Linked DNA regions of Lonchura striata. The protein of the gene in region 3 purifies or fractionates together with the protein of the main gene of each other region. This does not show direct contact. Links are inferred from orthologs where the notes say so. Each region holds a gene or a part of one and is shown on either strand. Other genes may lie near its edges.

The links.
Region 1: the proteins of PPM1K (region 3) and BCKDHA purify together in Homo sapiens (affinity purification with mass spectrometry; 4 studies listed by BioGRID and IntAct, counting the BioPlex papers as one, with this or other methods). This does not show direct contact. The link is inferred for Lonchura striata from reciprocal best matches to the Homo sapiens genes PPM1K and BCKDHA.
Region 2: the proteins of PPM1K (region 3) and BCKDHB purify together in Homo sapiens (affinity purification with mass spectrometry; 3 studies listed by BioGRID and IntAct, counting the BioPlex papers as one, with this or other methods). This does not show direct contact. The link is inferred for Lonchura striata from reciprocal best matches to the Homo sapiens genes PPM1K and BCKDHB.
Region 4: the proteins of PPM1K (region 3) and DBT purify together in Homo sapiens (affinity purification with mass spectrometry; 4 studies listed by BioGRID and IntAct, counting the BioPlex papers as one, with this or other methods). This does not show direct contact. The link is inferred for Lonchura striata from reciprocal best matches to the Homo sapiens genes PPM1K and DBT.

The regions. Positions count from the first base shown.
Region 1 is NC_134633.1:5,562,133-5,569,301, reverse strand, and holds the start of BCKDHA (2-oxoisovalerate dehydrogenase subunit alpha, mitochondrial), read right to left. Parts: upstream 3,014-7,169; 5' UTR 3,008-3,013; coding exon 2,936-3,007; intron 477-2,935; coding exon 324-476; exon of another isoform or gene 1-323. Other genes in the region: MARK4 (MAP/microtubule affinity-regulating kinase 4), read right to left, coding at 5,153-5,217, 5,316-5,360, 6,134-6,213. UniProt on the Homo sapiens protein: Together with BCKDHB forms the heterotetrameric E1 subunit of the mitochondrial branched-chain alpha-ketoacid dehydrogenase (BCKD) complex.
Region 2 is NC_134605.1:81,557,252-81,564,748, forward strand, and holds the start of BCKDHB (2-oxoisovalerate dehydrogenase subunit beta, mitochondrial), read right to left. Parts: upstream 3,007-7,497; 5' UTR 2,903-3,006; intron 467-2,902; 5' UTR 453-466; coding exon 389-452; intron 1-388. UniProt on the Homo sapiens protein: Together with BCKDHA forms the heterotetrameric E1 subunit of the mitochondrial branched-chain alpha-ketoacid dehydrogenase (BCKD) complex.
Region 3 is NC_134606.1:64,143,965-64,151,845, reverse strand, and holds the start of PPM1K (protein phosphatase Mn(2+)-dependent 1K), read right to left. Parts: upstream 3,015-7,881; 5' UTR 2,915-3,014; intron 2,527-2,914; exon of another isoform or gene 2,305-2,526; intron 1,513-2,304; exon of another isoform or gene 1,439-1,512; intron 1-1,438. UniProt on the Homo sapiens protein: Serine/threonine-protein phosphatase component of macronutrients metabolism.
Region 4 is NC_134611.1:22,888,091-22,895,010, forward strand, and holds the start of DBT (lipoamide acyltransferase component of branched-chain alpha-keto acid dehydrogenase complex, mitochondrial), read right to left. Parts: upstream 3,005-6,920; 5' UTR 2,982-3,004; coding exon of another isoform or gene 2,931-2,981; intron 665-2,930; exon of another isoform or gene 657-664; intron 1-656. Other genes in the region: RTCA (RNA 3'-terminal phosphate cyclase), read left to right, coding at 3,945-3,989, 4,088-4,188, 4,965-5,108, 5,867-5,990, 6,476-6,534. UniProt on the Homo sapiens protein: The branched-chain alpha-keto dehydrogenase complex catalyzes the overall conversion of alpha-keto acids to acyl-CoA and CO(2).

The DNA.
Region 1 (7,169 bases), on a different chromosome or scaffold from region 3:
GATCCTCCGTGTCCCGCAGCACGTGTCCCTGCCGGTCCATGACGCGGTACACGGGCCGTGTGTGTGTGTGTGTTACACGTGTGCGTGTCCCGTGTCACGCGTGTTACCTGGGGATCCTCCGTGTCCCGCAGCACGTGTCCCTGCCGGTCCATGACGCGGTACACGGGCTGTGTGTGTGTGTGTTACACGTGTGCGTGTCCCGTGTCACGCGTGTTACCTGGGGATCCTCCGTGTCCCGCAGCACGTGTCCCTGCCGGTCCATGACGCGGTACACGGGCCGTGTGTGTGTTACACGTGTGTGTGTCCCGTGTCACGCGTGTTACCTGGGGATCCTCCGTGTCCCGCAGCACGTGTCCCTGCCGGTCCATGACGCGGTACACGGGGATCCCGGCCAGCACCTGGGGCTGGATGAACTCCAGGCGCTCCGAGAACGCGGCCGAGGCGCCCGGGAACTGCGGCCGCTCCTCGGGGGGCTCCTGGGGTCACGCGGGGGTCACGGGGTCATGCAGGGGTCACACAGGGGTCACGGGGTCACGCAGGGGTCATGGGGTCACACAGGGGTCACACAGGGGTCATGGGGACACCGAGGCGCCCGGGAACTGCGGCCGCTCCTCGGGCGGCTCCTGGGGTCACACAGGGGTCACGGGGTCATGCAGGGGTCACACAGGGGTCACGGGGTCACACAGGGGTCACGGGGTCACACAGGGGTCACAGGGTCGCACAGGGGTCACACAGGGGTCACAGGGTCGCACAGGGGTCATGGGGACACACGGGGGTCACAGGGTCACGCGGGGGTCACGGGGTCACACAGGGGCCACGGGGACACCGAGGCGCCCGGGAACTGAGGCCGCTCCTCGGGGGGCTCCTGGGGTCACACAGGGGTCACACGGGGTCACACAGGGGTCACGGGGTCACACAGGGGTCAGGGGGTCACACAGGGGTCAGGGGGTCACACAGGGGTCGTGGGGACACCGAGGCGCCCGGGAACTGCGGCCGCTCCTCGGGGGGCTCCTGGGGTCACACAGGGGTCACGGGGTCACGCGGGGGTCACGGGGTCACGCAGGGGTCATGGGGTCACACAGGGGTCAGGGGGTCACACGGGGGTCACGGGGTCACACAGGGGTCACGGGGTCATGCAGGGGTCACAGGGTCACACGGGGGTCACGGGGTCACACAGGGGTCACGCAGGGGTCACACAGTGGTCCCCTCATTATCCCCTCCCTTTCCCCCCTTTTTGTCCTTTTTTTCCCCATTTTGGCCCATTTTGTCCCTTTTTTCTCCCTTTTTGTCCCTTTTTCCCCTTTTTGTCCCTTTCTGTCCCCATTTGTCCCTTTTTGTCCCTTTTTTCCCCTTCTTTCCCCCTTTCCCCCCTTTTTGTCCCTTTTTGTCCTTTTTTTCCCCATTTTGGCCCATTTTGTCCCTTTTTTCTCCCTTTTTGTCCCTTTTTTCTCCCTTTTTGTCCCTTTTTTCCCCTTCTTTCCCCATTTTCCCGCCTTTTTTCCCCTTTTTGTCCCAGTTTATCCTGGTTTTTCCCAGTTTTTTCCCATTTTTGTCCCTTTTTTCCCCCTTTTGTCCCGGTTTGTCCCCGTTTGTCCCTTTTTGCCCCTTTTTTTCCCTTTTTTCCCCTCTTTGACCCTTTTTGCCTCAGTTTATCCTGTTTTATTCTGTTTTGTCCCGTTTTTTTCCCCATTTCCCCCCTTTTTTCCCCCGTTTTGCCCCGTTTTCTCCCCTTTTCTCCCAGTTTACCCCGTTTTATCCCAGTTTTATCCTCTTTTGTCCCGTTTTTTCCCTGTTTTTCCCCTTTTTGTCCCAGTTTATCCCGTTTTATCCCGGTTTAATCCCATTTTTTCCTGGTTTATCCCAGTTTATCCCAGTTTTATCCCATTTTATCCCATTTAACCCCTTTTTTCTCCCGTTTTCTCCTGGTTTATCCCGGTTTACCCCGTTTTATCCCACTTTTCTCCCATTTTCTCCCATTTTTATCCCGTTTTCTCCCATTTCCCCCCCGTTTCCCCCCGTATTCCCCCATTTTTACCCATTTCCCCCCCGTTTTCCCCCGTTTTATCCCAGTTTTTCCCCATTTTTCCCCGTTTTTCCCCATTTCCCCCTGTTTCCCCCCGTATTCCCCCGTTTTTCCCCAGTTTTCTCCCGTTTTCTCCCGTTTCTATCCTGTTTTATCCCAGTTTTCCCCCGTTTTCTCCCATTTTCTCCCGTTTTTATCCCGTTTTATCCCAGTCTTATCCCGTTTTCTCCCCTTTTCTCCCGTTTTTATCCCGTTTTAACCCAGTTTTATCCCGTTTTCTCCCGTTTTTCCCCAGTTTTCTCCCGTTTTCCCCCGTTTTTTCCCGTTTTATCCCGTTTTATCCCAGTTTTCCCCCGTTTTCTCCCGTTTTTATCCCGTTTTATCCCAGTTTTCCCCCATTTTCTCCCGTTTTTATCCCGTTTTATCCCAGTTTTCCCCCATTTTCTCCCGTTTTTATCCCGTTTTATCCCGTTTTATCCCGTTTTTATCCCGTTTTAACCCAGTTTTATCCCGTTTTTATCCCGTTTTATCCCAGTTTTCCCCCGTTTTCCCCCGTTTTCTCCCGTTTCTATCCCGTTTTCTCCCGTTTTCTCCCGTTTCTATCCCGTTTTATCCCAGTTTTATCCCGTTTCTATCCCGTTTTCATCCCGTTTTCCCCCAGTTTTATCCCGTTTTCTCCCGTTTCTATCCCGTTTTCTCCCGTTTCTATCCCGTTTCTATCCCGTTTTCTCCCGTTTTATCCCGTTTCTATCCCGTTTTTATCCCGTTTTCTCCCGTTTTCTCCCGTTTTTATCCCGTTTTATCCCGTTTTCTCCCGTTTTATCCCGTTTTCTCCCGTTTTCTCCCGTTTTCCCCCGTTTTCCCCCGTTTTCCCCCGTTTTCCCCGTTTTTTCCCCAGTTTCCCGCGCTCACCGCCGTGCTCCGGAGCCGCCTCGGTTCGAGCCCCGGGAGGCGCCGCCACCGCAGCGCCCTCAGCGCCGCCATCTTGTCCCGCTGCGAGGGGGCGTGGCCTCGCGCTGATTGGTCCATCCAGGGGGCGGGAGGCGTTGGCCACGCCCCCCGACCGCCTTATAAGGAAGGCGTGGCCACGCCCACCGCGCGCCGCTCCGCGTTGGCCACGCCCACAAATCGCCATATAAGGAACCTGAGGGTGGCCACGCCCCTTGATTTACATAAAATGGGAACCTGGTTGGCCACGCCCACTAATTACCATATATGGTGGTGGTGGTGGCCACGCCCCTTGAGCGACATCGGGGAGGGGTCTCGTTCTGACCCGTCCCCAAATTCCCCCCAAACCCCCCCCAAATTCCCCAAATTCCCCCCAAATTTCCCCAAACCCCCCCACCCCAAACCCCCCTCCAAATTCCCCCAAATCCTCCCCAAATCCCCCCACCCCAAATCCCCCCACCCCAAATTCCCCAAATCCCCCTCCCCAAATTTCCCAAACCCCCCCCAAATCCCCCAAATCCCCCCCAAAATATGGACCCCAAGTTCCCCAAATCCCCCTCCTCAAATTCCCCAAATCCCCCCAAAATATGAACCCCAAATCCCCCTCCCCAAATCCCCCTCCCCAAATCCCCCCCCGAAAATGTGGACCCCAAATCCCCCCCCCCCAATTCCTCAAATCCCCCTCCCAAATTCCCCAAATCTCCCCCAAATCCCCCCCAAATTTGGACCCCCCCAGACAGTGACACTGGGGGGGTTTTTGGGGGTCCCGAGGTTTATTTGGGGGGGTCGGGGGGGTCGGGGCACAGCTCGGGGCAGGAATAACTTAAAAACGGGGGAGGGGTCCTGGGGGGAGGGGCCGGGGGGCGGGGCCTATTTACAGACTGTACACGGGGGGGGAGGGGCTGCGCTTTGGGGTGGGGGTCCCCAAAATCTTGGCACCGGACCCCCAAAATCCCCCCCCCAACGGGGACAGGGGGGTCCCAGCGCCGCTGGGCCCCGAATCTTGGGGGGGGGGTCCCGGGGCTGCCGAATCCTTGGGGGGCTCCTGGGGGGACCCCCGGGCAGCTTTTGGGGGTCCCGGGGGGGTCCCGATGCGGTTTTGGGGGTCCCGGGTCTCGTTTTGGGGGTCCCGGGGGTCCCAAACCAATTCTGGGGGTCCCAATCCAGTTCCGGGGGTCCCGGAGGGGTCCCAATGCGGTTTTGGGGGCCCCGGGTCTCATTTTGGGGGTCCCAGGGGGGTCCCAGTCCAGTTCTGGGGGTCCCAGTCTGGTTCTGGGGGGTCCCAGTTCGGTTCTGGGGGTCCCAGTTCGGTTCTGGGGGTCCCAGTCCGGTTCTGGGGGGTCCCAGTCTGGTTCTGGGGGTCCCAGGGGGGTCCCGGTCTCATCCGGGTGGTCCCGGTCTCGTTCTGGGGGTTCTGGGGGGTCCCGATCCTATTCCAGGGGTCCCAATCCAGTTCCGGGGTTTCCCAGGGGGAGGTCCCGGTCTCATTTTGGGGGTCCCAATCCAATTCTGGGGGTCCTGATCCAGTCCTGGGGTTCCCAATCCAGTTCCGGGGTTTCCCGGGGGGGTCCCAGTCTCGTTTTGGGGGTCCCGATCCCATTCCGGGATTCTCGATCCGGTTCCAGGGTTTCCCGGGGGGGTCCCGATCCAGTCCCGGGGGTCCCGATCCGGTTCCGGGGGTCCCAGGGGGGGTTCAAGTCCCATTTTGGGGGTCCCGGTCTCGTTTTGGGGGTCCCGATCCAGTCCCGGGGGTCCCGATCCATTCCGGGGGTCCCAATCCAGTTCCAGGGTTTCCCGGGGGAGTCCCAGTCTCGTTTTGGGGGTCCTGATCCAATTCCAGGAGTCCCAATCCAGGTCCGGGGGTCCCGGGTGGGGTCCCAGTCCCCTTTTGGGGGTCCCAATCCCATTCCGGGGGTCCCGATCCTGTTCTGGGGGTCCCGATCCCATTCCAGGGGTCCCGATCCAGTTCCGGGATTCCCGATCCGGTTCTGGGGTTTCCCGGGGGGGTCCTGATCCCATTCCGGGGATCCCGATCCAGTTCCGGGGGTCCCGATCCCATTCTGCGGGTCCCGATCCGGTTCCGCGGGTCCCAATCCGGTTCCGGGCTTTCCCGGGGCCGTTGCCCCGCCCCCCCCCCCCAGGCTGGGGGAGGGGCGGCTGCCGGGGGTGGGGGAGGGGCGGTCACAGCCCCCCCCCCTCGGCGCAGCCGGGGGGCGGCTTCCGCTTGATCCCCAGGTAGATGGCGACTGCGGGGGGACAGGTGAGGCCGGGGGTCCCGGGGGGTCCCGGGGGGTCCCGGGGGGGTCCCGGGGGGGGAGGGGAGGGGGGGAGGGGCAGCACCCACCTTGTGAGCGCAGGTCCCCCGATTCCCGCAGGTTCGTCTGCGACCCTGGCCCCCCAAAAAACCCCTCGGATGGCCCCAAAATTCCGTCCCAATCCCCAAAAATCCCATCCCGAAAAACCCCTCGGATGTCCCAAAAAATCCCATCCCAACCCCAACAAAATCCCATCTCGAAAACCCCTCGGATGGCCCCAAAATCCCATCCCGAAAATCCCATCCCAACCCCAAAAACATCCCATCCCAATAATCCCAAAAATCCCATCCCAAAAATCCTTTGGATGGCCCCAAAATCCCATCCCGAAAATCCCTCAGATGTCCCAAAAAATCCCATCCCAACCCCAAAAATCCCATCCCAAAAATCCCTCAGATGTCCCAAAAAATCCCATCCCAAAAATCTCTCCTTTGGCCCCAAAAAAATCCCTCGGATTCCCCAAAATCCCGTCCCAAAAATCCCTCGGATGTCCCAAAAATCCCATCCCAACCCCAAAAATCCCATCCCGAAAATCCCCAGGTGTGCCCAGGTGCCCCCAGGTGTGCCCAGATGTCCCCCAAGGTGTGCCCCGGTGTATTTTGGGTGCCCCCAGGTGTGCCCAGGTGAGTTTTGGGTGCCCCCAGCTGTGCCCAGGTGAGTTTTGGGTGCCCCCAGGTGTGCCCAGGTGTACTTTGGGTGCCCCCAGGTGTGCCCAGGTGAGTTTTGGGGGTGCCCAGGTGTATTTTGGGTGCCCCCAGGTGTGCCCAGGTGTATTTTGGGTGCCCCCAGGTGTGCCAGCTGTGCCCAGGTGAGTTTTGGGTGCCCCCAGGTGTGCCCAGGTGCCACTCACGGATCTTGGCAGCGCCGGGGCCGGGCGTGGCCGAGACGCAGCGATTGGAGCTCTGGCGGCGGGAGGGGTCCAGGGACACCCTGGCGGGTGGGACAGGTGAGACACAGGTGAGATATGGACAGGTGACCCCCCAGGTGTGTGTGTGACTCCCCCCAAAAGTGTGTGTGACCCCCAGGTGTGTGTGACCCCCAGGTGTGTGTGACCCCCCGGGTGTGTGTGACCCCCCAGGTGTGTGTGTGACCCCCCAGGTGTGTGTGTGACCCCCCCCCCAGGTGTGTGTGTGACCCCCAGGTGTGTGTGACCCCCAGGTGTGTGTGACCCCCCGGGTGTGTGTGACCCCCCGGGTGTGTGTGACCCCCAGGTGTGTGTCTGACCCCCCAGGTGTGTCTGACCCCCCAGGTGTGTCTGACCCCCCAGGTGTGTGTGACCCCCCAGGTGTGTTACCTGTCCCCAGCTGTGTTACCTGCCCAGGTGTGTGTGTGACCTCCAGGTGTGTCCTCAGGTGTGTTACCTGCCCAGGTGCGCTCACCTGCGCACCAGCTTGGAGGTGATCTGAACCCCCCAGGTGTGTGTGACCCCCCAGGTGTGTCCCCAGGTGTGTTACCTGCCCAGGTGTGTAACCCCCCAGGTGTGTCTGACCCCCCAGGTGTGTTACCTGTACCCAGGTGTGTCTGACCCCCCAGGTGTGTCTGACCCCCCAGGTGTGTCACCTGCCCAGGTGTGTGTGTGACCCCCAGGTGTGTCTGACCCCCCAGGTGTGTTACCTGCCCAGGTGTGTGTGTGACCCCCAGGTGTGTTACCTGCCCAGGTGTGTGTGTGACCCCCAGGTGTGTCTGACCCCCCAGGTGTGTTACCTGCCCAGGTGTGTGTGTGACCCCCAGGTGTGTTACCTGCCCAGGTGTGTGTGTGACCCCCAGGTGTGTCTGACCCCCCAGGTGTGTTACCTGCCCAGGTGTGTGTGTGACCCCCAGGTGTGTTACCTGCCCAGGTGTGTGTGTGACCCCCCAGGTGTGTTACCTGTACCCAGGTGTGTCAG
Region 2 (7,497 bases), on a different chromosome or scaffold from region 3:
CTAAAAACGTACCAGTTTTAGGGAACAGAAAGTTTAAGAAATGTAAAAGTAATGTTTACATTTTTAAAACTCCTACTAGTGGGACTCGAGCTGCCCTCAAGGACAGTTCTCCTCAGTAATACTTTAAACATGTTAAAGAATGTATCTTCTGTCCTCACCTTCAAGTGAAATACACAGAGCTAATACAGAAGATACAACTACATTTTAGACCATATAATCCATTAGTAATCTGTTAATGCAACACATTTTTAAGATTTGAGATCAAAGTGAAGTAATAACTTATTAGCAAACTTTACAGGGCATGAGAAATACATTAAATATTGTACACAGATAGGCAAACCAAAACACAATTTATATAAAACAAAATACACTAACAAGTATAAAGTACCTGCAGTTGGATCTTTGGCTAAAGCATTGTCCAAGGCACTTGTTATGGACTGGAAGAGATTCATCTTCTGAGTTTGCCCTGTGTGAAAGTGATCATTCCGCAATTTAATTTGGTTCAAAACATGAAGTACATTAGAAAACACTGGTGCAAACATGTCTAAAAATTTAACCATCAAAAACAAGATTCCTGTTAGGAATACCCAAGATTCATTTGTTGAATAAACTTAAATTATAGGATAGATGGGATTGAGCATTGTATACTTGGCCTTCCCAAGGACTATAATTCCACTTCCAATTTTTTTTTTTTTTTTTTTTTTTCAAAAATCTATGCTCTTGCCTACAGCAAATGAAGCTTTGCAAAGCTCAGTCAAGCACTGGGAAGAATGTCTTCCTTTTCAAAAGAAGAAACCAACATATCACCATTTTGAGGACTGGGATCTTCCCTCCCCCCCAGAAAATTCACTGACGTTTACTTTATCATTCTTTAATCACATTTTTTAAGCTCCAGCCTTTCCCATTTACAGACATCTATTATTATCAGAAAATTTCAAGACCACTGGCCTGCTCTCTGCACTGCAGTTAGTAAGTGTCTGAAGTTTCAAATTCATACTTCAAAGAAAGAAACTTCGTGCTGAAGCAAAGTAAGTTGTTTAATTTAGAACAATGCTACCAGAATGCCCTTCTTCCTTCCTGCACTTTTGTGAAAAACAAGGAGACCTGAAAGCAAAGATGGACCAAAACAGTAGCCTAGTCCTCACTACAATGACCAATTCAGATTCTCCAAGCAAATAAAATAATTCTTAAAAGAAACCAAGTAAGAAATTGCTTGGCTGCTCTTTAATTTGGTAGCTCTTTAACTGGAAAAATCTCTTAAGTCATGACTAGAATCTACAGTCCAGGAGAATGCCACCTCCAGCACACACAGTGTGCTAAATAAATAAATAAGATAATTAGATGAAGATCCCACATGAACTAATAGGTGTTAGAATTCAGAAAGGTGAACTACATCCTTTTCCCAGTAGTTACAGTACCTCTCAACAAACATTCAGCTTCCCTTTCTTCTAAATCATTAATTAATGTTAGTATTTTTTTGTTGAAGACTAGTGCCATGCTACATCTGAGCAGCTGCATTCCTACACATTCCTGTGCTTGGTAACTTGACTTGTTATACTTTACATGGCCCTTCAAGGAGAGGAAAATACTGAAAAGAAAATGTTATGAGAACTGTTCCGGTTATACAAAAGCCCTAATGAACAAAACTTACAAAAAGAGAATAAAAGCTCGGGAATGGCAGCTGTTTCCCTCTTTCCCTAGCCATCCATCCACATTAGTACTTAGTTTATCTTTTCTACAAGATAACATCCTTCCAGTATTGTATATAAATAAATGGGTATTACGATAGTTCTAACCTGCTTCTCTTGCTTATAACACAGGCCTTCATATAAACCCCACAGAGGAAAGGGGGAACTAATTGTATCTTTTAGATTTGACCTATGAAGTTGGAAAAGCAATATCTCAACAATATCAGGAGCAGTATTGCTATAATTTTATTTCACTTCCACTGCTTTTCCACAGAATTTTGAAGTGTATTTTAAGTCACAGGGAATTAACTTTCTACTAATTAATGGCATGCCACCCCAGAGCTTCTTCGCATGACCTCAAGCAGGGACCTGCCATACACAAGCTTCACTATGTGGGACCTTGGTATATCTTTATCATTAGCAGAAACTCTGTTTCTGTTAATCATGATCAAGATGCAACAACAAGGTATCCAACCAAGTAACAAGGTTTCTAGAGGATAGTTAGGTTCAGGTTTACGTGATAGAAGCAGCTGTTCTGCAGCCAGCAGGCTTCTTTCAGAACTTGGCACTAGCCATTTGGAGGGACACATCCCAAAAATAAAAGTCAAACACCATGCGCTGCTCATTTCCAAGTTATCTGTGTTTAGTCTCAACCATGTGACCACGAGGATGACCTCCAATCTTTCAGCAGACAGCAGTCTTTATTCATCATAGGTTTGTTATCACACTCATGACCTAAGCATGCAACACAAAAACCAGGACAGATGTCAAGTCAGTAAGTTACTTCTAGAAGCTCCTGGTAGAGGACAGGGGCCGAGGATGGCCGTGCAGGTTTGAGCACACGATGGGCCCACCTACCGCAGCTCTGGCTCTGACAGCCCAAAACACTTCGCCACCCCACCGCCGAGGCGGCCTGCGGCCCCACCAGCGGCCCACAAGGGCATTCCCACCCACAGCCCAGGATTCCTGCGGAAAACCCCCGGCTGGGAGTGCCGAGGACGCAGCGGGGTCACGCGACCGTGCGGATGCCTGCGCCGCCCGGGGCCGGCCCGCAGCGCCCCGGCGGGCCCCCGGCGGGCCCTGCCTGCCCGCTGCCATCCCGGACCGGGCTGCTGGCGGCCCCGCCTAAGGAGGCACGGCGACAGGGCGGACCCGGCGGCAGAGAGAGGTTGAGACCGGCCCGCGGGGTGGACCCCGGCCAGCCGCGCTCTCACCGTACTCTCTGGGCGCCGGGTCTGGCTGGAAAGCGAAGTGCGCGGCGGTGCGGCGGGGCGCGCCCGGCAGCGGGGCCGGGCGGCCCCAGAGCCCGGCGGGGAGCGCCGCGCGCAGCGCCCGCCCCGCCGCCGCCATCGCTGCCATGCCGGCCCGGCGCCGCCAGCGCCTACTAACGAGGCGGGGTCCCGGGCCGGCCCCCCATTGGCCAGCGCCGCCGGGGCACGGACCAATCAGCGGCGGCTCCGCAGTGGGTGGAGGAGCGGGAGGGAGGGAGGGTTCCCGCCTGCGCGGGGGGCGCGCGGCCTGGGGCGCGTGCGGGTGAGCGCGGGGCGCGCGGGAGGCGGGAGCGCGCCTTGAGGGCGGGAGCGCGCCTTGAGGGCGGGAGCGCGCTGCTGCCGTGCGCCCCCACAGCTACAGGGACAGGGACAGCCACGAGCCACGGCCACAAGCACAGCCACAGCCACAGCCATAGCCGCAGTCATAGGCACAGCCACAGGAGGCTTTGCCTAGGTACTGTCACCGTCGCAGCTGAAACCAAAGGCTTCCCCTCTCCCCTTAAACTTTTCTCTTTTCTTCCACTGCAGGGGTTGTCGTGTCACCACCCCAGAGTCGACAAATCGCAGACTGGTTTGGGTTGGAAGGGACCTCAGAGATTATCTGGTTCCAGCAGACTTGCCAGTGGCAGGGACACCTTTCAGTAGGCAAGGTTGCTCAGAGCCCATCCGACCTGGCCTTGAACACTTTCAGGGATGGAGTATCCACAGCTTCTCTGGGCAACCTTTTCCAATGCCTCACCATTCTTGCAGTAAAGAATTATTCACCAAATATCCAATCTAAATCTGTATTCTTCCAGTTTGAATCCATTCTCCCTTTTCCTGTCACTACATGTCCTTGTAAAACTCTCTATCTTTCTTCTAGGCTCCCTTCATAAATATCTGAAATCCTCAAATTCTACCCCAGCAGCTGCCCCAGAAGGGTGAAAGGAATTCACAGACCTGCAGATATTACCTGTTCCACTCTGTCTCTCAAAATCTCTCTTGACTGTCCATCCTGGCTTTCAGTCTGCCTTGCTTTAACTTAATTTTTTCTGAGGGCTTTTCTTTGAAACACTCTTGCTCAGACCTTTGGTACATTATTTTATTGAAATTATGATCTTTCATATGCACATATTTTCTTTGTCAGGTTTTATAAAAACATTCTTTCTAATGTTCTCCTCATCAAAGTATGACAACCTCACATTACTTCCATCATCCAGGTGAATCTTCTTGGTCTACTTGGTCTACTTTTGCAGCCTCCATTTCTTCCTCTGTTTACCCATCCTTGTTGCATTTCAGCTGTCTCCAGGTCAATCCTTTCCCCCTTTCCCTTTTGTCAGTGTTTCACATCTTGTCCCTGTGCATGCCTCTTCATCAAGCCCTGTCATGCAGCCTCCAATGCATGTGACAAGTTGTTTTAAGTTGTTTAAGTTGTTCTTCCCTGTCTGTTTTGATATTATCTGTAAGGCAAACCATACTGGCTAGCATTTTTTACTTTGCTCCAAGAACTCTAACTCAGTACTGTGCCTCAAAGAAAAAGGCTAGAAATTAGAATTACATATAAATGGCATCACCTCTTGCAAGTGAGAGGGCTCATATGTAACCCTGTATGAACAGGGCCTAGTTTAAACACTGGAATGATAGATTTCCTGTCTAACATAAAATATGTATAGCTGTGATGATTAGATTTTTTTTCCTATCTGAGTTCCAAGCCATTACTGAATATTCCTGTAATGACCACAGTTCAATTTCATTGAAGACTATTGCTTCATTATGTATTTTGTGAAAACATATTTTCTCATGTTGATTTAGAATTTCTTAATCATTAAGATTTGTGCAAAATAAAAGGCTTACTCTTCCTGCTAACTGAGGAGACCATCTACTTGCTCTTCACCACACCCTTTATCCTTAGAGACTGCTGAAAAAGCATTCAAATTTTGAGTGATTGGTCATGGGATCAAAGTTTGAACATATCCCAGTACATCCCAGGGAAACAAGACACTATCTAAATTTCTAAAGGGGGTGAGAATTTTAACGAACAATAGAATGCCATCTTTGCAATGAACAAGGAGTATAAATGTCAAAAGTTGAGGTTGCTTCCAACTTCAACTGAAGGCAATACATAGATGTTTGATAAAGTTTAGGACCTGGAAAACATAATAATATAATAACCACCAAGTGATACATAATCATGTAATATGTATTGCTAATAGTGGAAAATATCCACGTTTACTATTCAAATATTTGTGTTTCTTTCAGAAAACAATGTATCTGAGTAGGAGGAATTTAGCTATATTTCACATCATTGTGGCAAGATCTGCAAAACTTAAAAATGGAGAGCAATAGTATAGAAAGGAATTATTTTACATGTGAGTCTGACATCTATTACTAATGTATCACTTACTGTGAATTGCTAAACTCATACTATAAACTGTAAGGTATATTCTGCTTATGTACAGTTAGTAGATGCCATGCTGGGACTCTTGTCTCCTATACCTGGTGATACATGGAATTTGAAAAGGAAAAGTATGCTCATGTGGCCCAGTATCTTACACAGGAAGTTACAGCATTTATGATGGAACAGTGGAAAGAAGAAATATCTGCAGTAAGATGTTCACCTCATAGGTGAAAGGGAAAAAAAATATCTGGAAATAGATACTAACACCTGCATTGTTGTTGCCTTTTGAGTACAAAAAATGGTTTGTCCACATGGCCTTGGATATTTGCACTGGTAATATAAATAAATAAATAAATAAATAAATAAATAAATCTTTTTTAACGGGCCAATCAAAGAGGTTTATCCAAATGTACACTGGCTGAACAATGTTTTAGTGGAGTTTAGTCCCAGCATTTATGTCTTTCCAGCTCTGATGGGGTAATAATTATATCCATGTTGTTCCTGATATATGCTTAGATATTCCAGCAACTTCAATTACATTTTGAATACATTTTTCTCTTTTGGAAGTTGTTCAGTCACTTGGGGCCACTTCTGTTAAATCTGTACAGCAGACATTAAGAGCTGAAATCAACTACATTCCCCATCTGTGTGTATTAGTCATTTTGCACATCCTTAGTATTGTTGACAGCCATTAAAAAACTCTGGCAGGGATTACTATTATTTGTGAATAATCATACAGAGCAATTAATGAGGATCTGATGATTGCAGACCCTACTGTCCCAGACCAGATTATGCCCATATTTATGCCAGCATCAATCAGATGTAACTCCCTTGAAGTTCATGTTGTTGCCTCTGATTGACATGGATCTAACTGTGAGCAAACTGCAATATTGGATTTGGACATAAACATATGGCTCCAAGTCTACTATTCTGTTTCAAAATCTCTCAAAATTTTTACATAGCTTGCAGCTGAACCTTAAACTCATCACATTTCCTAGTAGGTGTTACTTTAAATTATGTTTTTATAGGTGATGAAGCATCCAGGCAATTTCTGTTGCATTCCTTCAAGCATAGCTGTTTTCTTGTCACTTCTGTCTGACATGTTATAGTGTTGCTGTAAGTTTTCCTCCCTGCTCTGTGGTTCATGGAAGGAATCTTGTTGCATGTTTCCACCCCAACAGCTGATTAGATGTTTTACCCCCTCTTATAGGAACTGCTAGTGAGCACTCTTGTCACATTAATCCTAGGTCTTGGCACTACAGCTATTTTCATGTTTTGTTTGCTGTCTTCTGTCTTCCTTCTACCCTAATTATTGTCTGCTTTGTCCTTCTCTTTCTGTGCTGATACTTTGAAGCTGTTTTCTCCCGTCCCTCCTCCCTCAGACAAATGGGGTTTTTTGTTGATTAGGGACAGGCATTTCTTTCTTGGATATGTGAAAAAGAGTTTTACCATTTGGCCTGGCTGGTTTTATTGTCAGTCCTGTACAGATTAAATGTGGGAACAGAAAGGGTTGTCTTACCCCTAAGAATGAGTAAGACAAACTAAACAAGACCAGAGCAGTAATGGTTTTGATCAACAGGACTTAGAAATAAATGGTTTCATCTTAGGTAGCATAAATGCCAATAATGTAGCATAAACGCCAATAATTATTTTACACTTTAATAAAAAGCAGGTCAGGGCAATCTGTCTGGAACCAGACAAGTTGTAGTCTGGCAAAGAGCAGGGGGGGGGAAAGGAAAAGAAGCCTTTATGGCGTAGTTTTGCACTCATTTTCTTGTAAGGTCAGAAATCATCCCGTTTCTTCTGCTGTATGACCCACCTCTGTGGTAAGACAGAGCTTCCCACTCAGTCTAGACTAGTAACTGTGTGTTACATCACCAATTGCTTTTTAGATTTTTAAATACTGCACACTTAATTTGAAGACAGTCCTATTTTAAATTGCGTGAGTAATTCATAACATTAAATGAATCAAGGCTGGAAACTGCGGTGTCTATCCATAGAGACATTGTTCAGCTTTCTTTATATGACATATCAGTGTTTCATAATTACAGGATGAGAGTCCCACTTTGCTTAATTCAATCAGTTTTAAGTTGAAACTGCAGATCATATTTAACTCTTTTTTTCTACTAGCTTAATCTAGAAATACCTGTACAGGGAAATG
Region 3 (7,881 bases):
ACATTCACAACTGTACACACAAACTTCCCCCTCAAAAAACCCATGCAGCTATTTGCTGTTTCATCTGGCTTGAAGTTCTTTGCCACCTAACCCTGAAATGGGCTAACACAGGCAGACAAGATCTACTGGCTTCTCAGATCTCTTTTCCAGTCCAGATAAATTCATACACACCACTTGGCTCAGCACAGACAAAAATTTGCTAATGATGACTCACCTAGCATGGTGAAAAGCATAGAAAGGTTGGATTATTGATCTTTTCTAGAGCAACACCCAACTTCACCGAAGTCCAAGGATGCAATTTGTAATAATTACATGTCGCAATGGAGTACTTGAACTGGACCACACAGATCATTGTAACTAACCACACTAAAGATATAAACCCAGTGAGGAATTTCTAACTTAATTACTCAAAGTTTGCTAAGGGCAAAATGATGAGTGAGAAGTATTATATGACATAACCACAGATCTAAATATACCCAGGCTTATGGTGAATGAAAAATAATTATAATAATAGTTTTAAAAAAGACAGCAGGGTGATCTGACATAATTGGACAGCAAAGAGCAACACTTGTACTCCAGAGACACTTTAATTCTGGGCTGGAGTGCCTTGCTGTTGTCCTCTGCCCAGGCCAATCACAACTGCATCTCTAGATCTGAAATATTTGTTAAAACTACGTTTTTAAGTTGCTAGATAAAAAATCTGTGTACTCACAAAAAACATGCAATCAAAGGTGAATTAGTAAAGGGTTGCTTTAGTAGAAAATGGCAGTGACAGAGCTTTTGGAAGGCCTTCAATAAACATGTTGTTCCCAGCTCAAAGTGTGTTGCTTCAGATGCTGTGGGTTTACCTTTCATGCAATTCTTAGGTTGCATGAAAAAAAGAAAGGTTTCTTTACTTAGCCCTTAGAGGTTAACTGTTGACTTGATAAAAGGCTGAATGTTCTGGAAATCACTGTTGCACCAGCTGAATATGGAACTATTTGAGATCTTTAGATTTTCCATTTTACTTAGGGTGATTGCAATATCACACCCTTATTTTAGCATACTTACAGGCATTTAAAACCTGCTTTACTTCCTGGAACTGCTTTTTCTTTCATGCTATCCTTGACTCGTAACAGCAGCAGGTTAACTTCCTTCTGTGAAACACAGTAGGACCAAACTAAAAGCCTGTCAATTAGCAAAACCCACACTCGCCTTCACTTCTGTCAGCTTGAGAAGAGAACATGAAATGCTCACTATATTTAGATTACCCAGTATCCACAGCATGAATCAGAGGATCAATCCAAACTCATAAGCTAATTAATGCATTTGTTCCCTATCAAATTCAACTCTCACCAGGCAAGTAAAAATAGTGATGATAGTTTTGCCTTCCAAGCGTCTCTGCAAATCAGAAGTAGAAACCTGCTCTTTAGTTTGTTATATAAACAGCTCTGGACACACAACAGTCTGTACTTTCCCAGCTGGTACGTCTGCAAAGACTGGGCAGACCCATCTGGGCAAAACAAGACTGAGGTAATGAAAAGGGGGGTACCGCTGTTAGAGACAAAGTCCAAGATGGACAGTTCGAGATAGAAATGTGCTTTGAGGTGCTCCTTCTTGTGATAAATGCATATTTATGATTGGCTTTTCGCAAATTTTACAATGAATATTATATGTGTAATGTTAGAAAGTTATGCTGTATTAATTCTCTTAGGTATTGCATTAAGTGTAGTTTTAGGTTACAAAATAATGTTAAAATAGAGACTATGTATGTGGGGGGAGTTTTCGTTTTAGGAATGAGATATTCGCTTCAAAGAACACCTAAATTTCCAAAGGATAGGAATTTATGGCTTCTTATCAGAAGAAGCTAATTTCTTCAGGCCTTGCTTAGACTCGAAGATGCCAGGGGATTAAAGGAAACAGTTGACATACAACAGAGTTCTTTGTTTAGAATAGAATGTATGCATAACCATGAAGGATGTATGAATATGCAACAAGTGTATTGGTTTAAGGGTGAGTCCTTTGTTCACAAGTCATGCTTTTCCTGACTTTGTGTCCAAGAGTATCCGGACATCTGTAATTCTTTGCTTTTTATTGTCTTGTAATTGTCCTAACTCTAAACGTTATTACTCTAATTGTATTATTATTTTTATAACCATTTTACTATTAAACTTTTAAAATTTTAAAAACCAAGTGATCGGCGTTTTTCACAATCTGATCCTGTTCATCTGTACACGTTCTCTTGGAGGGAAACAGTTCCTACAGACAGGCAGGGAAAGACAGCACTTGAAGCGGGATGAGGTGATTAAAATTGTAGTTTTACAGGCTCGCTGCTGCTCGGGAGATGGAAATTTTCCAGGCTGCCAGAAGGAAAGGGGAAGAAAAGGACGCCCGGAAGAAAGCGCAGGCATGCCTGCTGCCCCAGGGGATCCGACGTACGTGAAAAGGAATGCACGAGTCCGAGCGCACTTGCCTCGCGTGCCTCCCCAACCTCACGGATGTGGGCAGGACCGCACGGCTCTGGCTGTTAAGCTCGCCATAAAGCAGGTGTGTTGCTGTTTTGTTGTTTGGTTGTTTTTGTGGTTTTTGTGTGTTTTTTGTTGTTTTTTTTTTTTTTTTAAATCCGTAACAATCTGGTCTCGCCTCCCTGCCTGGACAGCAAACTGCACACAGACAGCAGCAATTTAAAGACGTCTCTGCTGCAGTTTGCGTATCACGAATTACCTCAGGCCGCGTTTATTCCGTGCGATATCAAAACTGCGGCATGCGGCGGCAGCGCCGGCGGAACGCCAATCCTGCCCAGCCCCGCTCCCTGACATTCCCTGCCCTGCCGCGGCTGAAGGAGAAAGGAGAGCGGTGCGAGCGGAAGGGGCAAAAGGAGACGCTTGCGGGCGCGGCCCCTCACCCTCCCCCGGCCCATGCAGGCGGCCCTTACCTCCTCCCGCGCCCGGCGGCGGCAGCGCCTCAGCTGAGCGAGAGCGGCGCCCCCCGGCCGAGGCTGCAGCCCGGCCCGCCCGGCCAATCGGCCCCGCCCGCCCGGCCCGCCCGGCCAATCGGCCCCGCCCGCCCGGCCCGCCCGGCCAATCGGCCCCGCCCGCCCGGCCCGCCCGGCCAATCGGCCCCGCCCGCCCGGCCCGCCCGGCCAATCGGCCCCGCCCGCCCGGCCCGCCCGGCCAATCGGCCCCGCCCGCCCGGCCCGCCCGGCCAATCGGCCCCGCCCGCCCGGCCCGCCCGGCCAATCGGCCCCGCCCGCCCGGCCCGCCCGGCCAATCGGCCCCGCCCGCCCGGCCCGCCCGGCCAATCGGCCCCGCCCGCCCGGCCCGCCCGGCCAATCGGCCCCGCCCGCCCGGCCCGCCCGGCCAATCGGCCCCGCCCGCCCGGCCCGCCCGGCCAATCGGCCCCGCCCGCCCGGCCCGCCCGGCCAATCGGCCCCGGCGGCGGCGGCCGCGCCGGCCGAGCCTCCCCCGCCGCCCCCGGCGCGCCCCTCACACGAGCCTGGGGCCGGGCCAGGGGCAGGCGCGTGGCAGCGGCTGTGGCCGCGGTGACCCTGCACAGCCCCTGGTTTCACAGAATCGCTTGGGGTGGAAAAGACCGCGGGGGTCATTGAGTCCAACCACCTGCAGTCTTTCCTTAAACACATCCAGAGAGGGTGACTCCATCACCTCCCTGGGCAGCCCCTTCCGATGTCTAATCACCCTTTTTGGAAGAAATTTCCCCTAACTTCACAGAATCACGGAATTTACTGAGTTGGAGAGACCCACTCCCGGTCCTGCACTGGTCCAGCCTAACCCTGTGCCGGTCTAAGCCGTGTCCTCTCGTCCCGACGCTGGTCGTCCGGGAGAAGAGCCCGACCTCCACCTGGCTACCGCCTACTTCCAGGCTGGATTCGGCAGCTGGAAGCCCGAGGGCCAGGACAGCCAGGCTGTGCCTGCAGCCGCTGCCCAAGAGGCTTCTGGAAACAGCAGTGATGCCCTTATGCAACAAATATCTGAAAGATTTAAAGCACAATTGTGTGCACTGCTTCGAAGCAGCTGTTTCCATGAGCAGAGCCCTGCCACCTCCTCACGCTGATCCATGTCCGATCAGGATTTTAAAGGGATCATTTGCTCCATGCTGTGCTACTGCCAGTCTCTGACCTATGATGCAATTTGGGAAATCAGATGGCTCTGATTACAAAAGCCTTTGAAACATGCTGACACCTGTGCTGTCTGCTGGAGACCAGAGTACTCGAAAATAGACGCATGAGAGAAAAGTGAGAGCCAACACAATTTCCACAGGAGCTTAAGGAGGTCGCTGTCAAGTTTGTCCTATAAATTTTTGAGGTAAATAAACTTTTGTTTTGTTGGGGTGAGGTTTTTGGTTGCTGCAAAACCTGGCCAGAAAAGCAGCAATAATACCTCTCAGACCTCTCACTGTACCACTCTATTTGTAGAAGAAGGGGTTAGGTGAACATGGCAGCACGTGCCAGATCATTCTGGTTTCCAGATGTGTGGTGTCCCACTCGGCACTTAGAATGGAATTTGGGGGAATCTTTTGGGGATAGCAACGGTGTCATCTGTCACTGCAGGTTGTTCTCTGGTTCCCCTTTGTCCTCAGTGAGACAGGAAAAACAAAGCTCTCCTGCCAACTCTTCTGGCATTGGGCAAGAGCAGCAGTTCTGAGCACAAAGGATTCATACAGGGGTAGCCAAGCTAGCACAGTGAATTACTGAGAACAAAACCAGCATATTATCTGTAAAACAGGTATTGCTATTTACAGAGCAGCGCCAGTGGGATCTTCTCAGAAGTGTCAGGGTCCTACATCATATGGAGGCACGAGTGCTGGGAGACAATTTCTGCCCCATTGAATTGGCAGTGAAAGGCCAGCATGGAAATGATAAATGCTTCATGGTGAGCCCTGATGTGCAGTAGAACTGCTCTTATCTTTAAAAGGCTTTGGAAGGCAAGTGGGAGGCATCTGGAGAGGCAGCAGGAAAAAATGAGGCAGCAAGCATAAGAATAGCTTTGTGAGAAGGCAGAAGGCTCGAAGACAAGAGGAACAGGTCAAGGCACAGGGCAGGGATGATGGGCTGCAGTGCAGCGTTTGGTGCTTTGAGGGGCCTCTGATAACACTAGGAGGACAGGAGGCAAAAAAATTCAGGAACAGGAAAGGCAGGAACTTCTACTATGCAATATTTAGTTTTGACTGGAAACAGTAATTTGGACTTTCCCCTCATAAGTTTTTTCCCCCTAAAGGATGAGTTAAGTATTCCTAGATTCCAGCTCCCCTAACAAGGAATTTCTGTTCCTGCAATGTTCTCTCTCTCTTCTGTCCTACTGCCTCTGTTTTTGCTACTTCGTCAAGTTCCTGACCTTTCCCTCCTTTGCCTTCTAGTCTACTTTATTTTTTCTCCTTTTAATTGAAGTTTATTAATGATTTGCACATATTTTTTCCATTATTATTTCTCTCCTGCTGCCTCTTCCCTTTTTCATTCATCTTTCCTGCATGTTTCCATCTTTAAATTCTAAACCCTTCATCTGGGACTGTCTTCTGTGACTGGAAAACAAACCAAACTCCTGGGGGCAGGGGCAGGCTGGTTGTCTATGTGCTGTTCTGCCCAGCAATGCAACTGAATAAACAGCAGCTGGAATTCTGGTGGGGGCAAAATAAATGTCCATTTTAATCTCCATGGATAATATCTCAGACCAAGCTGTAAATTCAGGGCAAACTGATTCTGAACACTATGCTCTCATCAGCACCTGATGTTAAAAGGTTGGAAAATTTACTCTTACACCATGCTTTCTATCCCTATAAGTGAAGAATTCTTCCTTATGGTACACTCCTGGCTAATTGTCTGTATAATCTGGGTCTTCTGGCAGGTCAGAAGAGACCAGAAAACACCCTGTGGCTGTGGTGAAGTGGCCATTATTTTAACACTAATATTCAAATAACTGGCAACAGCTGTAATTTCTCACAGCACTTTTCAAAGGCAGCCCTTCAAAATCAGGTGAGCTACTGTGTCACCCTTGCCATGGCCATTTGACTGCCTGTGCTCATGGATAGCTCTGGATAGTCCAGCTCTCAGTGTGGACATTGGTGATAAGAGCTGCAGCTCACTGAGGATGTTTTTTCCTTGGACTGGGAATCAAATTTAAGTTCAGGCCCTTGCCTTAGCCATGCTGTGGGTGTGCCCATGCCTGGCCTTGTACCTCACTGATCCTGTGCTTCCCTGGCTGATGGATCCTTTGTCTTGACCTTGAACCTGGCTAGTCTCTAAGGTCAGGCTTGAACTGCAGCTGACCCCTGTTGCTGTCCCCAGCTGGCCTGGTTCTCCTTAGGTACTATGGAGCTGTCAAGGAGGTCCCTGCCTGCCTCAGCATCCCCCTTATCCCCAGCCCTGGTGGAGCAGCCATGCTTCTCCCTGCTGACAAGGGCTGCACATAGTCCTCAGGGTGTGGGTAAAATGCAGCTTTTTTCTTCCAGAGAAATGTGCTTTTTGGCACTCTTGCCAGGTATTGCCCTTGCATAAATACTTACAGTGTTAACACTGAAACATGACTGAGCAAGCTAATAAGCATTCTGTTTAGAAATAATGAATAAAAGTATTGGTTTTGACACTGCTCAAATTACATGCAACATTTAATTCCCAAGCTCATGCTCTATACTTTTATGGGTGATGTGACAAACCTCCTGTGCTCAGACTTTGACATATGGCAATCTTGTTTCCTCTGGTTATCCTACTCAATAAGTTTCTATTTCATTTGGGACTCGTGGTTTACACAGTGACAGAAGGCGTTCTGAAACAGAAGGGCTGTGGTGTAGCTTAAGCACATTGCCAGGACTGCCCAGATCAAACTGCAGTCTTTGAACCAGTTCTCACTTGCAGGGAAGGCGGGAGTCAGATGTACATCTGTTCCCACAGGATTCCTCTCAATTCAGATGACATGGCTTGCTTCTGTCCTGGTGAAGATGGAAAATAAACTCCTGTATCTAAATACTGTGCTGGGAAGGTCAGATCAAGAGCATACCTAGGGGATTTGGTGTTGTCATTAAAACTGAAGTCAGCTTTCATCCCTTCGTGATCCCAGGTGTGGTGGGTGCACCCCGAGCAGCCACCTAGTGAAACCATAGCACGGCCCCTCCTCAGCGAGCAGTGCCAGCACTGCTCGGCAGTAGCCAAACCACTCTTGTGTTTTCAACACCACTCAAGCTACAAATACAAACCACAGCACTACTGAGGGCTACTACAAGAAAGTTAACTAACCCAGTACACTGAGTTTTCTAAAGTAAAAGAAAATGGTTGAATTGTTTATCCTGACTTCAAATGGCTTTGGAGTATTCAAGCAGTTTATTTGGAAACAGAAAAAAAAAAAAAAAAAAAGGTTTGGCTGAGCTTTTTGTGCCCCTAGTGAAGAATATGCTTTCTTAAATGCAGGGAAAAGTGAGTTAGAACAGAATGTTCCTAGCCCTTCACATTGTGCCTTTGTCATTCTCCAATTACAGTATGTTAGCTGTGTAAATTGAATTTCTCCTTGAATTTTTCCACCCTAAATTATTGTATGATTCTATTAGAAGTATCATAAGTTAGAAGTTGTGATACTTCAAAATATGAGGATGCCGTGGATGGTAACTTAGTGTTAGGAATATGCAATCGAAAGATCTGATTTTGGGGATGGTTGCACAGCAGCACAGCTGATTTTGTTTCAGTATCATAGCTTCAGTTTTACAAAGATAATATTCCAGATCAGAATTCAGTCATCTGCCTGCTGAGAAGAACCACGTGATTATTTCTGCCTTGATGATTAAAGAATATTCCTAATGATTTTTGAAGAGCTGTTGTAATTCGACAGCAGGAAATTATTGTGGCTTTTGAATATGCAGCAAATATTTTAAAGCAGGCTTTTAAGTGGTTTCCGTGGCAAC
Region 4 (6,920 bases), on a different chromosome or scaffold from region 3:
TAAAAAAATCCTTTCAGTAATTACAGAGTATATGAAATTTCTTGTTTCCCTCCCCACACCCCAAACTGTTCAACTATTTGCTATCATTTTTCATTATTTAAAAAGTACATTATTCAGCAGGCCATACAATTCTGAACTGACAATGTACTCATTTTCTGTATTATTTAACCCAGCACTGCAAGTTATATCCAATATCCCCTTTCTTTAAGAAACAAATCTTTATACAACACAGTCTATCATGGTGGACACAACAAAGTTATATAATTTGAATTACCTTTCAGTTGCCTGCCACTAAGATGGTACTTACTGATCTAGTATGAGTATTTTTCTCATTCCCATAACAAGCAAATAGAAAATCTTTTCATTGGTCCTCCAAACAACTTTCCATATTCAACAACCTAGTAACATGGCAATTTTACAAAAAATTGTACTTTAGGAATATGTTTAAAGTTTACATTTAATTACAAAACTGGCATACAGTGTACATCTTCACAATCTTATTTTTCTTCTATTTTTAATTCTGGGCTTCTTCCCAGTTGAAGGTTACATTTTAATGTTTACTGAAAAAACTGTTCAACTAGACGTTTTTGTCACAAACTTGCAAAAACTCTCTTTTCTCTTTATATGACCCTAAATGAAAAACATTCAGTATTTACCTGTGAAGATGATCACAAGGAGCACATCAAATCTCTGAACTATTTCTAAATGTGAAGTTTCACAATGATTTCCATGTGATTTTTAACCTTTGGTTACCAATGCAGGTAGTAAATTAGTAATGTCACTGCCAAAAAAAGAGACTTGGTGTTGTTATTAAAGAGTTACCATGCTGTTTTATATTATATTTGAAGGAATAATTAAAAACTATTGCATTTTTTAAAACAATATCTTTCTGGTTTTCAGTTTTGCACATTCTCTACCAAAAAGCTGATGTGCTAGTATGTTAAACTAATAATACAGGACACAATCTTCTCACAGAGCAGTGTTCCTTACCAACAAGGAAAAAATTATAATCCATTAAACAAAGAGACTGTGCTTACAATTTCAGCATTTAATCACCATAATACTGGTGTAATGCCAAACAAAGAAATAAAAATGGCACATAAAAGACAAAATTAGCTCTAATATCCATAGTATACCCATCTAAATATTTTGATGTTTGGAAAAATCTATCAGTAAACCCCAAACATAAATGCTATACTAAGCTTGTTAACCTGGCTATTGTTAGACTAAACAGCAACTTAAAGGCAATACTGCCACAGCAAGGCAACAGCTTTCCTGTGCACGTCTCCAGTGTGTAGAGTGACTCTGGCATAAAGGAGCTGAGGTCCCAGTCAAACCCTCGCTGGGACTGAGGCCACACCAGCCTGGCTGACAGAGCCGTGCTCTGACCCCAGCCAAGGGGGAGCTGAGGGCACTCAGGGGGACAACTGCCTTCCCTCTCAGGTTCAGCTTTGTTTCCTTAAAAACAAGCCAACTCCGGTTTTCTAAATTACCACTGATCCTGTATGTTGGCCTCAGACCAAAGTATTTTTAAGCAGCCTGAAGAGAACTGATTAACTGAGGGAGTAACACTAAATTTCCAAGTAAAATTGAACAGTTCATGGTCACAGGCAATAACTTTGCATTAAAGGATATTGCCCTGCTGAACTCTCTTGACTTCTGTCCCACTGAGTCATTTTAATGAACATTTTCTCACATTGGATGTGTTTTGCATACATATTCTATATTTCCAAGTATATAGTTACCTATATACTAAAGCAACATCCCTGGTAATGTGTTTTAATCTGATGCCATCCCTCATCTAAATACCTGGCACATGTCCCAGTGTCCAGGTACCTGCCATTTCCCTACCACTTCAAACAAAGGCCTCTGGCTCAGATTCAAAATGTGCTTGCAGGAAACACACACTACAAACCAGCCAATTCTACAGTTCAGCATGCACATAGATAAGATGAGTGTTTTCATCTTATCAGAATCTCTCTCCAGATTTAAGAGTAGAAGGTTAGAAATACAATTTAAAAGAAAATGCTAATTTCAGTGCTCTTAATTAGTAAAATTATTTATAAATACTTATAAGTTACTGGATGTAAACTGCCTTACAAAAGTATAATTTAAAACTTCCTCAGCATTATGCTTTAAAATTACAATATGAATTAGTAAGAGAAAAACATACTAGAAACTGGAACTGATCCTTAATTTTGCCTCTAAATGTCAAAAATTATTTCTTTTCTAACATCCTACAAAATAGGGGTGACATAATAGGAAACCAATGCTCTTCACAATAGCAAGAAGACTGTAATGCAAGACAGAAGAAAGCATGAACGAAGTCTACGGCCATGAAATTGTAAGTATCTCAAAAAGGCAACCAAGAAGATTCACTTCTTATGGTAAAGAATCTCAAGTACTTTTCAAGTATCAAGGCTCCTGGGATTCAAAGAAACACGTTTTCCTTTTTTGTACGTGTATCCACACCGTCTCCGTACAGATGCGGTATGCAAAGGGAGCTGATGCGTGGGCGGAGAAGCGGTGATGGCAGAGCAACGCTTAGGCAAAGCAATAACGGGATGACTTAGAAATAACAGAAGAGGAGGATGTCACTGTCATATTACAGAAAGGCACAAGTTTCTTTCACAGGGAGCACGGGCAGCGCGGGGGGAGAGGGTGCCACTTCGGGGTGCCTGTGGAGCGCGGGGCACAGCCGGGGACTCGGGCACCGCGGGGAGCGCACAGCGGGGACGGAGCTCAGTCGCTGCCCGGCCCCGCACACTGCCGAGGCGACAGGTCCGCCAGCGCGCCGCGTTTGCAGAGGCGCGGTGCGCGCCGTGTGCCCGCCGGCAGGAACAGGGCTCGGGGATGCCAAGAGTTATCTCTCCCTCCCCGGCCGGCCGCGGGAGGAGCGCCGCCGCCCGCGGGGTCCCCGCTCCCCTTACCAGGCGCCCCGCGGCTCGGCAGCTGCTCCTCAGCGCGGTCACGGCCGCCATCTTACCCCGGGCAGAGCGGCCCCGCACACACCCCCGGCACAGCCAACCCGCGGCGGCCGCGCCGCCTCGGCCAACCAGGAGCGCGCGGCGGCGCTCGGGGCCCACACACGCCCACGGGAGGGACCGCGCCCTGCGCGGGGCTCCCGGGCCCGAGCCGCGGGTGCCGGTCCCGGGAAGGGCAGCGCCGAGAGCCCGGCCTTTCCCCATACACGTGTAATAAAGTGCTGCGTGCGCCTGCCAGACCTACACGCCCGTGTCTGTGGTTCTGCGCGAAAGGTGATTGTAGCCAGCTTGGGGTCCCAGGTGACAAGCGGCAGGGCATAGTCTTAAGATTCACCAGGGAAAGTTTACGTTGAACAGTAGGAAGACTGTCTTCACACAGAAAGGGTGATTAGACATCGGAACGGGCTGCCCAGGAAGCTGGCGGTTATACCAACCCTAGAGGTGTTTAAGGAAAAGACTGGACGTGGTAATTAGTGCCATGGTCTGACTGGCATGGTGGTAGACTTGATAATCTCAGAAGTTTTTTACAACCTAATTCATTCTGTGATTCTGAGGAAATTAGCTCATAACGAGCAGGGCAGCTCTCCTCCGCGGCAGCGCTGTACCCATGGCTCTGATGTCCCAGGTGCCGCGGTTGTTACGGCTCCGGCCCTGAGGACAAGGGAAAGGCATTGCCTCCTGCGGTCAGTACCGCGGGGATAACGGAGGCACTCCTGCCCCTGCCTGAGCGCCGGGCCCGCCGGCTGCTCCTCCCCGCGGCGGGCGGGCAGGGCGGCGCCTCCGCTCCGCGCCTGCCCGGCACCGCCGCCCGCCCCCCGCGCCCGTACCGCAGCATCCCGGGCCCGCCGCCGTCAAGCGCTCCTGGCCCCGCGGCTGCTTCGCCGAGGGCTCGCCGTGGTTAGGGCCCCGCCGGGATCCCATCGGCGCGGCCTCTGCGAGAGACGCCGCTCCTCGCCAGCTATGGACGGGGACAGGGTGGAGATAGACGGCGGGATCATGGAGGGGGTGAGCGCCAGCGGGCCGCGGCTTACCTGGCCCCGGTCAGCTGTACGGGCTGGCCGGGAGGTGCCGTAGCGCCTGACGAGCGCCGTTTGTCCGTGCAGGGCGGGCAGATCCTGCGGGTGTCCACGGCGCTGAGCTGCCTGCTGGGGCTGCCGCTGCGGGTGCGCCGGATCCGCGCCGGGCGGAGCCAGCCCGGCCTCAGGTGAGACCCTCCGGCGGTCCCGGGGCGCTCCGCCGGTCACTGCGGCGTGTGGGCCCTCCGGGGCTGGGCCACGGCCGCGCAAGGCCTCGGCTGCTCTCGTCTGAAACATTTGCGCTTCCATTGCTCTAAAAGAGCCTTTGTACTGGGAAATGCCGTCTGTGGCCCACAAGGAGTGAGGGGGAACGCTGCGGCATGGTGCCCTCAGCGCGGGGCCCGCGCTGCCTCGGAGATGGTTCCGCCGGTGAAACAGGCAACACACTCACGTAATGCCTGAGCAAAACACGGCTTACCGAGCGTACAGTGTTAACAGCAGTTAGTGCTTATCCTAGTGCTGCTACGCTTCGTGTATTTCCAGTGTTAAGACCAGTTGGTGTATTTCCTGTTTAAATTACACGAACAAATGGTAACAAGCACAAGGCAAGTACATAGCAAACCTGTTAATTCTCTTGTAGCACTGCAACTGGTTCTGGCTCAGCCAGTATTGCCATCATTTCCCACTGCATTTCTGTCTGAGCATTCATAGCACAGATAGCTCTCTTGGGTCTATTCTAGTGGAAAGGATACCAGAATCCTGCATATCCCAGTATGGCCTGAATGCTGCTCCTTTGGCGCCTGTGAGCTCAGAAGTACTGTAGCAACCAGAGTGAATTTCTGATCCTTGTCTGATCCAAAATTTGGAGTCGTAGTTTTTCAGTTGGTGTTTAGTGGTTGTTTCAGTGTAACATGAGGATGTAGTCTACTTGTATGTGTCTTTAACTGTGTATTGTCATTCTAAGACCTCAGCATCTGTCTGGATTGGAGATCATACGAGATTTGTGTGATGGGAAGCTGAATGGTGGAGAGATTGGCTCAACAGAAATAACCTTCACTCCTGGGAAGATCAAAGGTGGAACTCACATAGCAGATACAAAAACAGCAGGGTATGTCTTTGTACACCAGCTTCTGATAATTTTAAAATTATCATAATAGATGGGGGGGAGGTGGAAAGAAGATTTATGCTTTGGTAATGACCCAAGATATGTGCTGCCTGAGCCAGATTTATGTGACCAAACAACCTGTAGTATAGGCAGGATATGCATGAAGTACACGTGAAGTTTAAAAGTACGATTTATATAAAATCTGAATGCTTGATTCATGTTATGAAGAAAGCAGCTGCCCATGTCTTTAAAACTTCAGATGTAAATTCCTCACATTAGTGTGTTACATACCAGACCAAATGCATTAAATTAGATAAGTATCTCACATGCATGAGGTCTGAAATAATTGCCATATAATAAGGTAAATTTTGACATTCTACTTAGATTCATAGTAGCACAGTATGCCATATTGGTCTTTTGGAAATGGGAACATATTCCATTGATTTATTAAAACGTTTTCTGCTACCTAAACACAGTTTTCTTGGTCCCATCACTATACTAAGGAAGATACATAACTTTATTTCAAACAGAAATATTAAAGATGCAATTATTGTGAAATGAAAACTTTCATATTTATGCTTGCTAAGGACATGAAGTTTTAAAGTAGTATCTTTTAAGACTAATAAGTTTATAGATAATTTAAAAAATAAAATACAAAAGTAAATGTTCTAGAGAGTCATTTGCCTTTGATATATAATGATTCTATGCAATTTTGTGGATTAATAGAGTATGGCATTTGAGTATCTTATAATTGTTTTTAGGAGTGTGTGCCTACTGATGCAGGTAGCAATGCCCTGTGTGCTGTTTGCTGCCTCCCCATCAGAGCTTCATTTAAAAGGTGGGACTAATGCGGAGATGGCTCCTCAGATAGACTACACAGTCATGGTAGGGAGAAATTCCTTTGCCTTGGTGCATCTTCCCTGAATATGTATGCAATGTAACTGCTGTTCTCTGTTGCTCTTACTGCAAGTCTATTTGTGATTATGCAATTAGGCATGGAATATAACACTATTAGTGTACTGGATGTAGAGAGACACCAGTGATTCATGGAATTTCTGAAATGGCAAATAGTCTCTTTAGTTTTAATTTACTGCAGAAAATTTCACTTAAAATGTATTCTTTTTTCTAGAAGTGCTGTGAATAACTCTTCTTTTTTTCCATAAGAAAATCCTTTTACACAAAGTTATATTGAGAATAAAGTATGAGGAATGTCAAATAAGCTATATGGATAAGACTGGCTATCTTTTTTTTATTTTAATAATGCAACTGAAATTTTTGTGTTGAGCTATTTTTTTTCTTCTAAGAATTCATTAAGTAGTGGAAAATTATCAATGCAAAAATAAATTAATTCTTATATGTTTCTTTTTCAGGTTTTCAAGCCAATAGTTGAAAAGTTCAATTTCACATTTAATTGTGATATAAAAAGGAGGTGAGTTGTGGAGCCATGCAGCAGAGCTGGGCCTTTACTGAACTTGTGTGTGAGCAGAGGCACACACAAGGGGCTCTCAATCAAACTGAGGGGTGAATTTATAATACATGAACTAATCTGCATTAGCTGCCCCTGTGTGTACTGTCACCATATGACAAATGGGATAGGATTCTTTGCTGTCTTTTTTTTCATTGCTGAGTCTACAGCTGCTGTGTAATGTTTCCTGTTGGCTCCCCTGAGGGGAGGGCATGCTGAACAGGCAGTGCATTACTGAGCTTTTTCCAAGGAGCCAGTTAGGTTGGGGTTAGAAAGTTAATAAGATGTGAATTACAGAGGATTATTGTTAAAGAGCCTAATTCCATTATAAGGGTTTCTAAGGCAGACAT